Arabidopsis thaliana: one gene and its partner. The protein of the gene in region 2 purifies or fractionates together with the protein of the main gene of each other region. This does not show direct contact. Each region holds a gene or a part of one and is shown on either strand. Other genes may lie near its edges.

Region 1 (7,048 bases), on a different chromosome or scaffold from region 2:
TACTACAGCATCTAACACATCTCTTACCTATACTGATCATAGTGACCGACTAACTTTCTGATATGACGTGTTTAATGGATGAAGTGATCACATTACTTTTCAAATGAATATTCTGAGACAAATTTGATATCTCATGCCAACTTCTTTATATTGGTTAAAGGAAAAATAATTGAAGTTTTGACTCTTTGGCAGGTGCACCAATCGCAGGATCAGCGGTGGAGCAAGTAGAGCAAGTGGTGGGATATGTGAGTTTGGGATACCCATTTGGCCTAATGGCCTCGATTCTCTTTGGGCGACACCACAAGGCCATTCTCTCATCCCCTAAACCCAAACTCTTCGTAATGGGAACACAAGACGGGTTCACTAGCGTTAGCCAGCTAAAGAAGAAGCTGAAATCTGCAGTCGGACGCACTGAAACACACCTCATTGAAGGCGTTAGTCATTTCCAGATGGAAGGACCTGAATATGATTCTCAGGTGACCGATATTATATGTAAATTTATTTCATCCCTGTAAAATACCACATGAAAAGATAGACCTTAGGGGATTATTACATCCTCGTCGAACTACGTTGGTGTATGTCCGGAAATTACTTGGATAAATCTTTACTAGCACGATAGGAGTTTGATGTCCCTGTACACTACGCACTAAAAGACTTGTTTTCATATGTTGAGTTATTATCACTCTATCGGACATTTCTTCAAGCTTTGCAATTGCATCGAGAAGAGTTTGCTCACGATCATGTGACATCCTAAGGAGACAAATCAGGTTCATACTAGGATGAAGAATAAAAATCCTAATCTTGGTTCTATTAATAATTTTAACTGGGAGTTTGGTAAAATGAAAATCATCTACATGAAAAGCATTCATACGCGACATCTCTCTCCATGCACAAACCACTCACAAAACAGTGAGTTACATAAGATGATATAAATTATCAAAATAGACAAGCATCATCTAGATGAATGTGCGACAAAGGCCGACAAAACACTTATCGAATCTAAAAAAGAAACAGGAAAATTTAGTTCCGCAGACCAACCCCAAAGTGAAACCTTCCCGCATGTTGATCGTTGAAGGCATATTCAAGGCGTAGCGGCCCCAACGGGGAATCAACACGCACCCCTAAACCATATCCATAACCGCTTCCGGGCTTCAGTCTTGCCCCCGCAGGATCACCTAAAGGGCAGAAAATAACAAAGATGAAGGTTCCCTGAGATTCTAAAGCTATTACAAGCATATATGGAAAGGCTCAGAAGGAGAAAAAAAAAACGAAAGCCTAGTCTGTACCTGGGACGGTGGATCCTGATCCCATATCAGTGCCATAATCTGTAAAAATGACGCCTTCGACCGGTCCTCTCTGCACAATAGGGTAAGAATGAGAGTCATGATTTTTACACCATTGTGAAATGAGATCTTAGGAATGTTCAAAGAAAAACCCACCACTGGGAAAGACAGCTCCCCTGAACCAACTACATATGACCGACCAGATCCTACAGCGCCCTCTTCGTAACCTCTTACGCTGTTTGTTCCACCGATGACGAATGCTTCATGAGGTGAAAATTTTCCCACCACATGTCCACCAGACAGACTATAAACATGAACAAGGTAAGATACACTATATAAAACTTTAGAAATGATGATTCGAATCCCAAAAGGTAAATAGAGACCTCAAGAAAATTATATGCCTCAAAGGAAGTTAGCATACCTAAAAAGGAAACGAGCTGGTCCAATGTGTATGCCTTTCCTGGCACGTCCAGTCACTCGATTGAAACATAACCATTCGGGCAAAACAGGAAGCCCTTGTTCCATGTTAAACGCAAACTGGTATAAAAATACAGATAGAATTAGGCACTGAAAAAAGAAGGGGAAGATGTACCAACAGAGGTATCAGACTGACCATCGTTGATCCTTGGTCACCTGAGCCAGTATAAATGCTTTCAAGTTTTGCTAGCATGGTCTCATCATGGGGCTTACCACTGCATGAGAAAACATTAATAATGGCATCTATCAAATTCATATGGCCAAATACAGCATTGGTGAAAACAGTGAGCAGAACCAAAGACAAATCATTCTTTGGGAATTGGGACATATATATACCTTGCAGTTAGAGGGCTACTGTAGAAGTCCTTAATGATAGGGTTTCCTTGTTCATCACGAGCACCAGCATGCTGAAACATGAAATTCAAAACGAAATTAAGGGTAACGTATATATTGGTCAAAAAGTAAAAAATTTACCAGTTTGGATCTAGTCAGAAACGACAAGAACATATATTTTAATTGCTTTAACACCAATATTACTCTGGATTGGTACAGAAACTTAGAAAATATTGGGAACAGTAGAGACCTGAAATATAAGTCCAGCAGTACCATTCCACTTTGGCCTGAATGGACGACTGTATTCAACACCTGCTGTAACCCGACCAATTGTGAGACTACTATTGTCTGGTTGATTGCCGTGAACAAGATTCCCCGGTGTTCTTGAATTCTAACTCAAGATGAAGTTCATTAGTTTATTAGTCATCTCAGCAATCTCATTGAGATAACCAGTAAAGGTGTTACCTGAACCATAATAGATCTGGACGTCCTCTTGTCATCTCCTTCAATCCATGGATCAGTGTAGTTTATACGAAATATAGAGTCAATTTGACCCCTCTCTAAGGAAACATTAAGCTTCTGGTTTCTTCCAAACAGATTGCGGTGGGAATAAGCGAAGCTGCATAAAATGATTACTTCAACTACATCAGTAATGTAATACACACAGCCTAGGCCAGAAATAAAAAAAAAATCATTACAAATAAAATATACATTACTTTTACCTTCCAATTAATCCTGATAGGGGGCCACTTGTGATCCTACAAAAGAATTGGACAAAAGTTGTCATCAAGCTACAAAAGAAAAAAATTGAATCGCTGTAAGTAGCAAACAAACTAAAACTTACCCACTAGATATCCCACCACCAGCAGAGAAGCCTCCACTGGGACGCTCGACACAGTTCATGATCAAATCAACCTTCCCACTATCTAACAGGAATAAAAAACAAGGAAAAGAAGAAAGTTTCAGAATCAGACACTGTCAAAACCTTTTGTTACTGTGCCTAAGGATAAGCAAGGAAAATACTTTCTTCACTCATACTACTGCACCTTAAGCACAAGATGAAAATTAAAAGTATTAGCTGAAAAGAAAGAAATATATTTACACACCTCCTGCAGGTTGAGGAATAATACTAACATCTTCCATGATTCCCATGGCTAGCACAGTGTCTACATCCCTCTTCCCTTGAAGCATGCTGTAGACCTAAATTGACCAAAAGCCAGATTAGACAAGATGTGTATGTAGAGGCCCTACTTAGACGCTCATGCATAAAGACTTTAAGGCCAAATTTTACGAAGAAACATACATGATACCATAAAGAGTGATTAACCTTAATTAAAAATAAGATCTCCAAAGGATTTCATACACAGATGATGCACTCAGAAGTGTTATTTAGCATAAAAATACAGCTCAGATAGTTTATGATGTTTTAGTCAGCGACTTATCTTTACATCTAAGCTGAGAAATGCCCAAAAAATACCTGTCCCTTCTTTGTTGTAAGTTGCCGTAGTATTGTCTCAGGGCTAGTCTTCCCTTTAGTTGGTTCCCCACTAAATATAGAAGGCACCATTATCAATGAAATCGTAATCTAATAGTTGAAATAAAAGGAAGCTACCAGTGCCATCCAGAATTGCCTACAATTTAAACCAATATAAACTACATTCATAAGGGAGGGATTGGCACCAGCTTACGTCTTACGATCAAGGAATCGGATGGATATGTTGTTAACCTCTGCTTCAGCAACCTGAAGCCTTACTATACCTCCAGAAAGCGTATCAATATCTGAAACCTACAATGGCAGACAACAGAATGATGATTCTAACCACAAAGTATAAGACTGAATCCAGGATGATTTTTTTTTTTGAAAAAGTAATTATGGTGTAAAAAGAGCACTTACAATTCCGAAAAGACCACGCTCCATGTACCATCCATTGATGGATGTAATAGCTTCTTCCAGTCTCTTAATATTAATCACTTTCCCTACACAGCTTGACACCAACATTTACTAACCATTACCCTCTCCAATCAAACACACACCGAACAGAAGGAATCCACCTAACTAGCCTCAATACATTAATATGTGTAAACTAAATGCAACTTCAAATTATGCTCTGTTTTGGAGCATGGATACATTTTGAGAATACTACCTACCTCTAATCTATCTTCTTCATTCAAGGCTAACACATTTTACACCATGTGTTAGAAAATTCTTAGCTTCATCATTAGTACTCGAAATATTTGTCAGGTTCCAATATCATTAATCCATTTTACTCCCAACGTAAATCAATGAATTGACAGATAAGTCTAGTACAGTACAGAAGAAAAAAAAACAAGCTAAATTGGAGGATACGTACCAAACCCATCTCGGAAAGCTTCATGTATGAACTTGGAAGGAAGAACATTTGCATTTTCACAGACTAACCCACGAAATTCTTGGTTTGGTTCTACCTTATGGCAAGAAAATGAGAATTATTTGCATCCCAGAAACATAAAAACGAGACCTTTCTCCTCCAACAAAAAGAGTAACAATCAAAATATTACCTGAAACATCAACCGAATCCCGTCTCGTGTATCAACAGCAACAGGAGTACAAGAGCAAAAGTACCCACTTTCTATAATCCTATGTACATCCTCCTGTACCTCACGAATAGTCAACGCTGAATTAGCTCTACAAGCTTTCAAAGCAGCCAATGCCTCCATTTCCAAATCCTTCCTCTCAAGTTCCTCACCATCTTTCGTTCTTACTAAAACCTCACTAATCAGAACTCGTTCCTCCGCATTTCGACTCACCGAGTGACCCTTCTGCTGCTGTACTGTATCCTTCCCTTCCACTGACTGAGTCGACTCGTTAGGTCTAGTTAGAGACAAAGAGGCACAACAGAGCAGAGGCGAGCTTAGTCCACGGATTGTCTCAACGTTCTCATCTCTTGATTCAGACCAATTGAATTGGGTGGATTGGATAAGAGACAATGAAATTGGAGAAGACTTCCCAATCATAAGCTGGGTTACTGAATTGAGCATCTGAGTCGGTAAATTGGGACGACGAACCGAACGTGGAGGAGGAGTGTGGCGATTCTTTAGCGACTGGAGCATTTGGTTTAGTGAGTTACGAGTATTTGAGAGGTGAGAGACGAAGGTTTTAGAGCAGGATTGGAGATTGGTGAGTAAAGAGTGTTGTTCTTTGGGAGATGGAGAATGGATTCTGATAGAAGATGAAGAGAAGCGAACATCATCGTTGTGACAATGCATTGTTAATCGTACTCGGGAGTGAAATTGAGGAAATGTCAAGGAAGAAGAAGAGCTTAAGAGATAAAATCTAAGAACAAAAAATAAGAGCTAGGGTTTTTTTTGATTCGGAGACTCGGAGTAGAAGATGATAGAGTGAAAAGGAGGTGATGTTAAAGCCCATTTACGAACAAACAAAAAACAAATTATTTTTTTGAATGTTTTATGTAAACATTCCTTTGAGTATATTATTAGGTTTTGTAAAATTACTGGATTTTCAAAAATGAAAATAAAATTGCGTCAAATAAATATTTTGGAAAATAATCAATTTCTCATTAAGGGGATTTCTCATTTATTTGACGGTAAATTAGTTTTTTGTAGGGTAAATTAGTTAACTAACGTTCAAAACATGTTAATCAAAATAAATAAATAGATTTTTGAGAAAAAAACGTTAGTTGATTTCTCCTATCCATTTTCTTGATTTTATTGATTAATAGATCACACACATGAACAAACAAGGATTATTGAATAGTTTTTCTGTGAATTTTTTTAGTAGTTATGGTCACAAACATGTAACAAAACCAATTATATTAATTTTGTCAATTTTAGACTTGTTAATTATAGAGAGTTTTGGCTCTTCTTAAGCAAGCCATAAACCCTTAAAACATTCATCTTATTAGGACCAGTACATAAATAAGTTATGGTCTGAATTTTAGTAAAATTTAAGCTGAGAGATATATTCTCTTGGAAACACTAGGACCAGTACATAAATAGAGTTATGGTCTGAATTTGGTAAAATTTAAGCTCCATTAACCTCTTAAGCGTCAGTTTTTCTCTACTGGTTAATTGAATAGTAGAGGAAAAAAACTTCAGCTATGCAAAGTCTGACTCAGATCAGTATGAAGAGGCCTAATCCTACAAAAATGGTTTCCACTCCAATCATCGTAGAGTTTGCTTCTACTTTAAAAGAAGAAGAAAAAAAAACCTTGAACACATACGTTTGATCCAAATAATGTATCCTTAAATCTGAATTTTTGCAGAACGTACATTAGTTTTCTATCTTAAGCCTTAAAGAAATTGACGGTAGCTGATGATGGAGTTTTCCTAGATGTGTGATGACAAATGGTTGAAACTCACCCATCACTGAGTCTCAGCCACTAAAACTTATATACTAAATATAGGATCAAACCAAGGCAAGGCAACACCGTACACATAAAGAATAAAAACGAAGAACAACAAAAAAAACAGTTGCTGAATGATTTTTCTTCTTTATCGGCAAGAAGAGTGTGATAAGGTGAGAAATGGATCGTATCGCCGTAAGAGCAAAGCGGAAAGAGCTAGGGATATCATGCATGCTTAACACGGAGGTTGGTGCAGTCCTTGCCGTCATTCGTAGACCCCTTTCAGAAAGTTACCTTTCTCCCCAAGAAACAGACCACTGTGATTCATCAGTCCAACAATCTCTCAAATCTCTTAGAGCTCTTATTTTCAATCCTCAACAAGATTGGCGCACCATAGATCCTTCGGTTTATCTTTCTCCTTTCCTCGAAGTTATTCAAAGCGATGAGATTCCGGCTAGCGCCACAGCTGTCGCTCTTTCCTCCATCTTAAAGATCCTTAAAATCGAGATCTTCGATGAGAAAACACCTGGTGCAAAAGATGCTATGAATTCTATTGTCTCCGGGATTACTAGTTGTCGTTTGGAGAAAACAGATTTGGTGTCTGAAGATGCT
Region 2 (4,514 bases):
ACATGGGTAGGGTACATTCTTTTTCTATTGAGTTAGTTGATACGTTAAGTTGGATGAGATATAACTTATACTATCATATAAGCTTTTTTTAATTTGTGTGTTTCAAGTTTGGTCGGTTTTGTTTATGTCTTTTGTAGGTGGGGTATACAGAAAAATAAGAGAAAAAAAAACAAAGTCAAAGCTGACTTTGACGACAAATCGCTAACCTTCGAGAGATGATGATAACAAGCCTAATTAAAATACACGTTACGTCGCAATCAATTGCTTCAATCTCATTCTCATTGCATGTCATCCTTAGCCGCGGTTAGCCGACCATACTATCAACGATGTGCATACTATCAACAATGTATTTGTAATAATTAAGTAGAAAAATAAAGAATGTTCCACCGTCCAAAAGAAACACAAGTACGGTCCTGAGAGGGCTTGAGATATTTTGCTTAGTGATATATGTCAACATCTTAGTTAAGCCCCACCGGTTCTGATATAAAAGTGGGGAAAATATTTCATAACCACACAACAAATCTCTCTGTTTCTCCCGCTCTTGCTCTGTTTTCTCAAAGACAAAAGAGGACATCGTCGTTGACTCCTCTTCTCTATGGCTACTGCTAAGAACAAGGGAAAATCAATCAGGGTCCTTGGTACCAGTGAAGCAGAGAAAAAGGATGAGATGGAGTTGGAGGAGGAGTTCCAGTTTAGTAGCGGCAAGTATAAAGATTCGGGTCCTGGCTCGGACATGTGGTTAGGAGATGCTTCCTCTACGTCTCCAAGAAGTCTTAGGAAGACTAGAACCTTTGACCGACATAATCCCTATCTCGTATCTTCTTATGCTACTCCTCAGCCGCCAACAACAACTACATGCTCTGTCTCTTTTCCCTTTTACCTCCCTCCAGCGATTCAAAATCAACAACGATTTTTACACCCGAATGACCCTTCAGGACAAAGACAGCAACAAATGATCTCGTTTGATCCTCAACAACAGGTGCAACCATATGTTGCACAACAGCAGCAACAACAACAACATCTATTGCAGTACTGGAGAGACATTCTGAAGCTGAGTCCGAGCGGAAGAATGATGATGATGAACATGTTAAGACAAGAAAGCGATCTGCCACTGACGAGGCCACCGGTTCAACCCTTCAGCGCCACCAAGCTATATAGAGGTGTCAGGCAACGCCACTGGGGAAAATGGGTTGCCGAGATCCGTAAGCCACGAAACAGGACACGTCTCTGGCTAGGGACATTCGATACAGCAGAAGAAGCCGCCATGGCCTACGACCGCGAGGCCTTCAAGTTGAGGGGAGAGACCGCTAGGCTCAATTTCCCTGAACTTTTTCTCAATAAACAAGAGCCAACTCCCGTGCATCAGAAACAATGTGAGACGGGGACTACTAGTGAAGACTCAAGCAGAAGAGGAGAGGATGATTCGAGCACGGCATTGGCAGTAGGAGGGGTGAGTGAGGAGACGGGTTGGGCTGAGGCATGGTTCAATGCAATTCCAGAGGAATGGGGACCTGGAAGCCCTCTATGGGATGATTACCACTTTCCCATTTCTAACCATAAGGACGATCTTGACGCCACACAAAACTCTTCTTCTGATACAATTTAGGACCTTTGTTAGAATATAGATATGCTTAGTTGTATGACTGATCTAGCTTGTGTTTTTTTTTTGGGTGGAGACAGTTTTTGTCATCTTCCACATTTTAGATTCTATTTTCGACCATCATTTTTTTCTTGATCGGTGACTATGAATCTAATGGGGTCAATCATTTTCACATATAAAACTTAAGTATTTGGTGTTTGTACTTCATCAGTTCATCTTATTCCATAGAAAGAGAGTGAGAAGTGATCAATAACCCTTTTAACTGAAAAAAAGAAGAAGATCAAAACCTAAATAAGATTTAAGTACATATGTCTAATTCGACGTAAGACATTTTTGGAAACGATCAATGTACTAACGAGTTGAATTCTGATGAATCTTGAGCATGAATAAACGGACTTTGTAGTTTGTACAATTGATAATGAAACAGAGAGCAACATTATGTACATGTGATATATGCTGCATTTATTTATGGGCTTTTATTAGATGGACCGAGCTCTAGCAAAATCCAAAGTAAATGGGCCTAATCCTAACGTGGACAGACAAGGGACACGTGTCACACTACCGACATCTCGTGGAGTTGGATAAGCCACTCGAAAGTCGAAACTCAGAAGATCCAACCAGAGCCATCATCATCCTTCCAATGGCTATTACTTGAGAACTCTTCTGATTAAACATAGCAACAACAACAACTCTTCTTCTCCTCTCTTTCTCACTTCAATTTAGCGATGGCTGCAACTGCAATCTCTTCTCTTTCCTTCCCAGCTTTGGGTCAATCGGACAAGATCTCCAATTTCGCATCTTCTCGTCCTCTCGCCTCCGCAATTCGCATCTGCACAAAGTTTTCTCGCCTTTCTTTGAATTCGCGTTCCACTTCGAAATCTCTTATTCACTGCATGTCCAATGTTACCGCCGGTGACTCTTCTTGAACTTCACATTGCATTTCACAATTCATTCTCCTTTGTTTTGTATTGAAAAAGGCTCTGACTTTATCTGCATTCACTCTCTTGTGGTTTTGTTGGTCAGATGTGCCTCCTGTATCAGAGACAAAGTCGAAATTCCTAAAAGCTTACAAGCGACCCATCCCGAGTATCTACAACACGGTTTTGCAGGAGCTCATTGTCCAGCAGCATTTGATGAGGTATAAGAAGACTTATCGTTATGATCCTGTTTTTGCCCTTGGATTTGTCACTGTATATGATCAGCTCATGGAAGGATATCCGAGTGATCAAGACCGAGATGCCATTTTTAAGGCTTACATTGAAGCCTTGAATGAGGATCCTAAGCAATACCGGTTTGCTTCTTCCTGCTTCCATCTTCTCCTTGATAATGAATGTCTTCTTGTTGAATGTCTTTTTCTAAAGATGATAACTTTTTTTGTACAGAATTGATGCTCAGAAGATGGAGGAATGGGCACGAAGTCAGACTTCTGCTTCACTAGTTGACTTTTCCTCTAAAGAAGGAGATATTGAAGCAGTTCTTAAGGACATTGCAGGAAGAGCTGGTAGTAAGGAGGGGTTTAGTTACAGCAGGTTCTTCGCTGTTGGGCTCTTTCGTTTGCTTGAGCTTGCAAGTGCTACTGATCCAACTGTCTTGGACAAGGTGATTCTATTCGTCTTCGGTTTGCTAATCTATATTAACAGCTTAATCTTGTGTTTAGAGGAAGAAGAAATGTTGCTAGTTTTGTATCCATTATGTTCACTGGCAATGTGCAACTGTATTCTCTCTGACATCTCACGGTAATTTTGATCTTTGTGTCTCATGAAACAGCTTTGTGCATCCCTAAATATCAACAAGAAAAGCGTGGATCGGGACCTGGATGTGTATCGTAACCTGCTTTCAAAGCTTGTCCAAGCCAAGGAATTGCTTAAGGAGTATGTCGAGAGGTACTGATACTGAATCCCTATCTAAATAGACTAGGCACTGGTCTATTTTTGAATGAATATACGGTGCTTGCTGCACCATGAAACTTCTATATAGAGCCTAACTTGGATCTTTATACTTTTGGTTACTCAGGGAGAAGAAGAAGCAAGGAGAAAGAGCCCAATCTCAGAAGGCTAACGAAACAATCTCCAAGTGTCTGGGAGATACTCTATATAACCCATCTTTCTTGGTTGAACGGAAATCTTAGAAAATCATTTGTGACTTCTTTTTTTGTTTTCTTAGCAACAACTATGCCCAAGAACATATATATCTCATTTCTAAGAACATTTCAGACGTGTATATGTTTGCTTTTTTTCCTTTCAATTACATGAGTTTACATAATGTTGATTCATGTAGTATTTTATACATTGATGAGGTTACTGTTGTGCTGTTACTAGTATATGACAAGTTTCTTTAAGATTTAGGCACTGTCTTCAGAGCACATGTGACCAACCATGAACATTTGAATTTCTCCTCCTTGAAGCCCTTCCTTTTTTATTACTGTGTTCTCCCTATAAAAAAAAGGTCAGATTCTATGTTTAGGAGTTGCAACATCTGAAAGTTTCGCATTTGGCGTCTCTGCACTGTCCTGCTAACTGCTGCAGTACATGTGCGTTAAACGAGAATCTGTGTTGCTATAAATCCAGATACATTATCTCGGCCATTAAACGTGAACAACCAAACAAAAGCAAAGAAAAAAGATGGTTACCAATCTAAACCAGTTGCTGCTAGTTGGCTCCTTTATGAAAGAGTGAATAAAAAAATTGGAGTCCGGAGGAAGAATGCATAGAATCAACAATGAAAATGGTTAATTGTCTAACTAAGTTGAGAAATATCAACCTCATCAGGAATCTTGAAGGTATCCGCAGCACCAAACTTTCTAAATTCTTCGCCTTCAGCCACTGAGTCGTCTTCATTATCATCATAATCTTCTGCACCATCCTGATGGCGGGGTGTTGAAGGGTCAAACACACTTCTGGACCGGCAGTCATGA

What was found.
Region 1: the proteins of PSB29 (region 2) and OEP80 fractionate together in Arabidopsis thaliana (co-fractionation; one study listed by BioGRID). This does not show direct contact.

What each region holds. Positions count from the first base shown.
Region 1 is NC_003076.8:6,621,614-6,628,661, reverse strand, and holds OEP80 (outer envelope protein of 80 kDa), read right to left. Parts: upstream 5,466-7,048; 5' UTR 5,340-5,465; coding exon 4,632-5,339; intron 4,539-4,631; coding exon 4,445-4,538; intron 4,071-4,444; coding exon 3,988-4,070; intron 3,880-3,987; coding exon 3,782-3,879; intron 3,641-3,781; coding exon 3,571-3,640; intron 3,294-3,570; coding exon 3,200-3,293; intron 3,020-3,199; coding exon 2,938-3,019; intron 2,852-2,937; coding exon 2,816-2,851; intron 2,713-2,815; coding exon 2,559-2,712; intron 2,485-2,558; coding exon 2,344-2,484; intron 2,168-2,343; coding exon 2,097-2,167; intron 1,976-2,096; coding exon 1,897-1,975; intron 1,821-1,896; coding exon 1,705-1,820; intron 1,588-1,704; coding exon 1,440-1,587; intron 1,357-1,439; coding exon 1,287-1,356; intron 1,176-1,286; coding exon 1,021-1,175; 3' UTR 768-1,020; downstream 1-767. Other genes in the region: AT5G19630 (alpha/beta-Hydrolases superfamily protein), read left to right, coding at 193-515; GNL2 (GNOM-like 2), read left to right, coding at 6,617-7,048. UniProt on the Arabidopsis thaliana protein: Plays an essential role during early stages of plastid development.
Region 2 is NC_003071.7:8,985,458-8,989,971, forward strand, and holds PSB29 (photosystem II reaction center PSB29 protein), read left to right. Parts: upstream 1-2,126; 5' UTR 2,127-2,325; coding exon 2,326-2,512; intron 2,513-2,623; coding exon 2,624-2,891; intron 2,892-2,982; coding exon 2,983-3,199; exon of another isoform or gene 3,200-3,367; coding exon 3,368-3,483; intron 3,484-3,613; coding exon 3,614-3,728; 3' UTR 3,729-3,954; downstream 3,955-4,514. Other genes in the region: ERF53 (Integrase-type DNA-binding superfamily protein), read left to right, coding at 596-1,606; DGK5 (diacylglycerol kinase 5), read right to left, coding at 3,955-4,032, 4,361-4,514. UniProt on the Arabidopsis thaliana protein: Involved in a dynamic process of vesicle-mediated thylakoid membrane biogenesis. Required for the normal organization of vesicles into mature thylakoid stacks and ultimately for leaf development.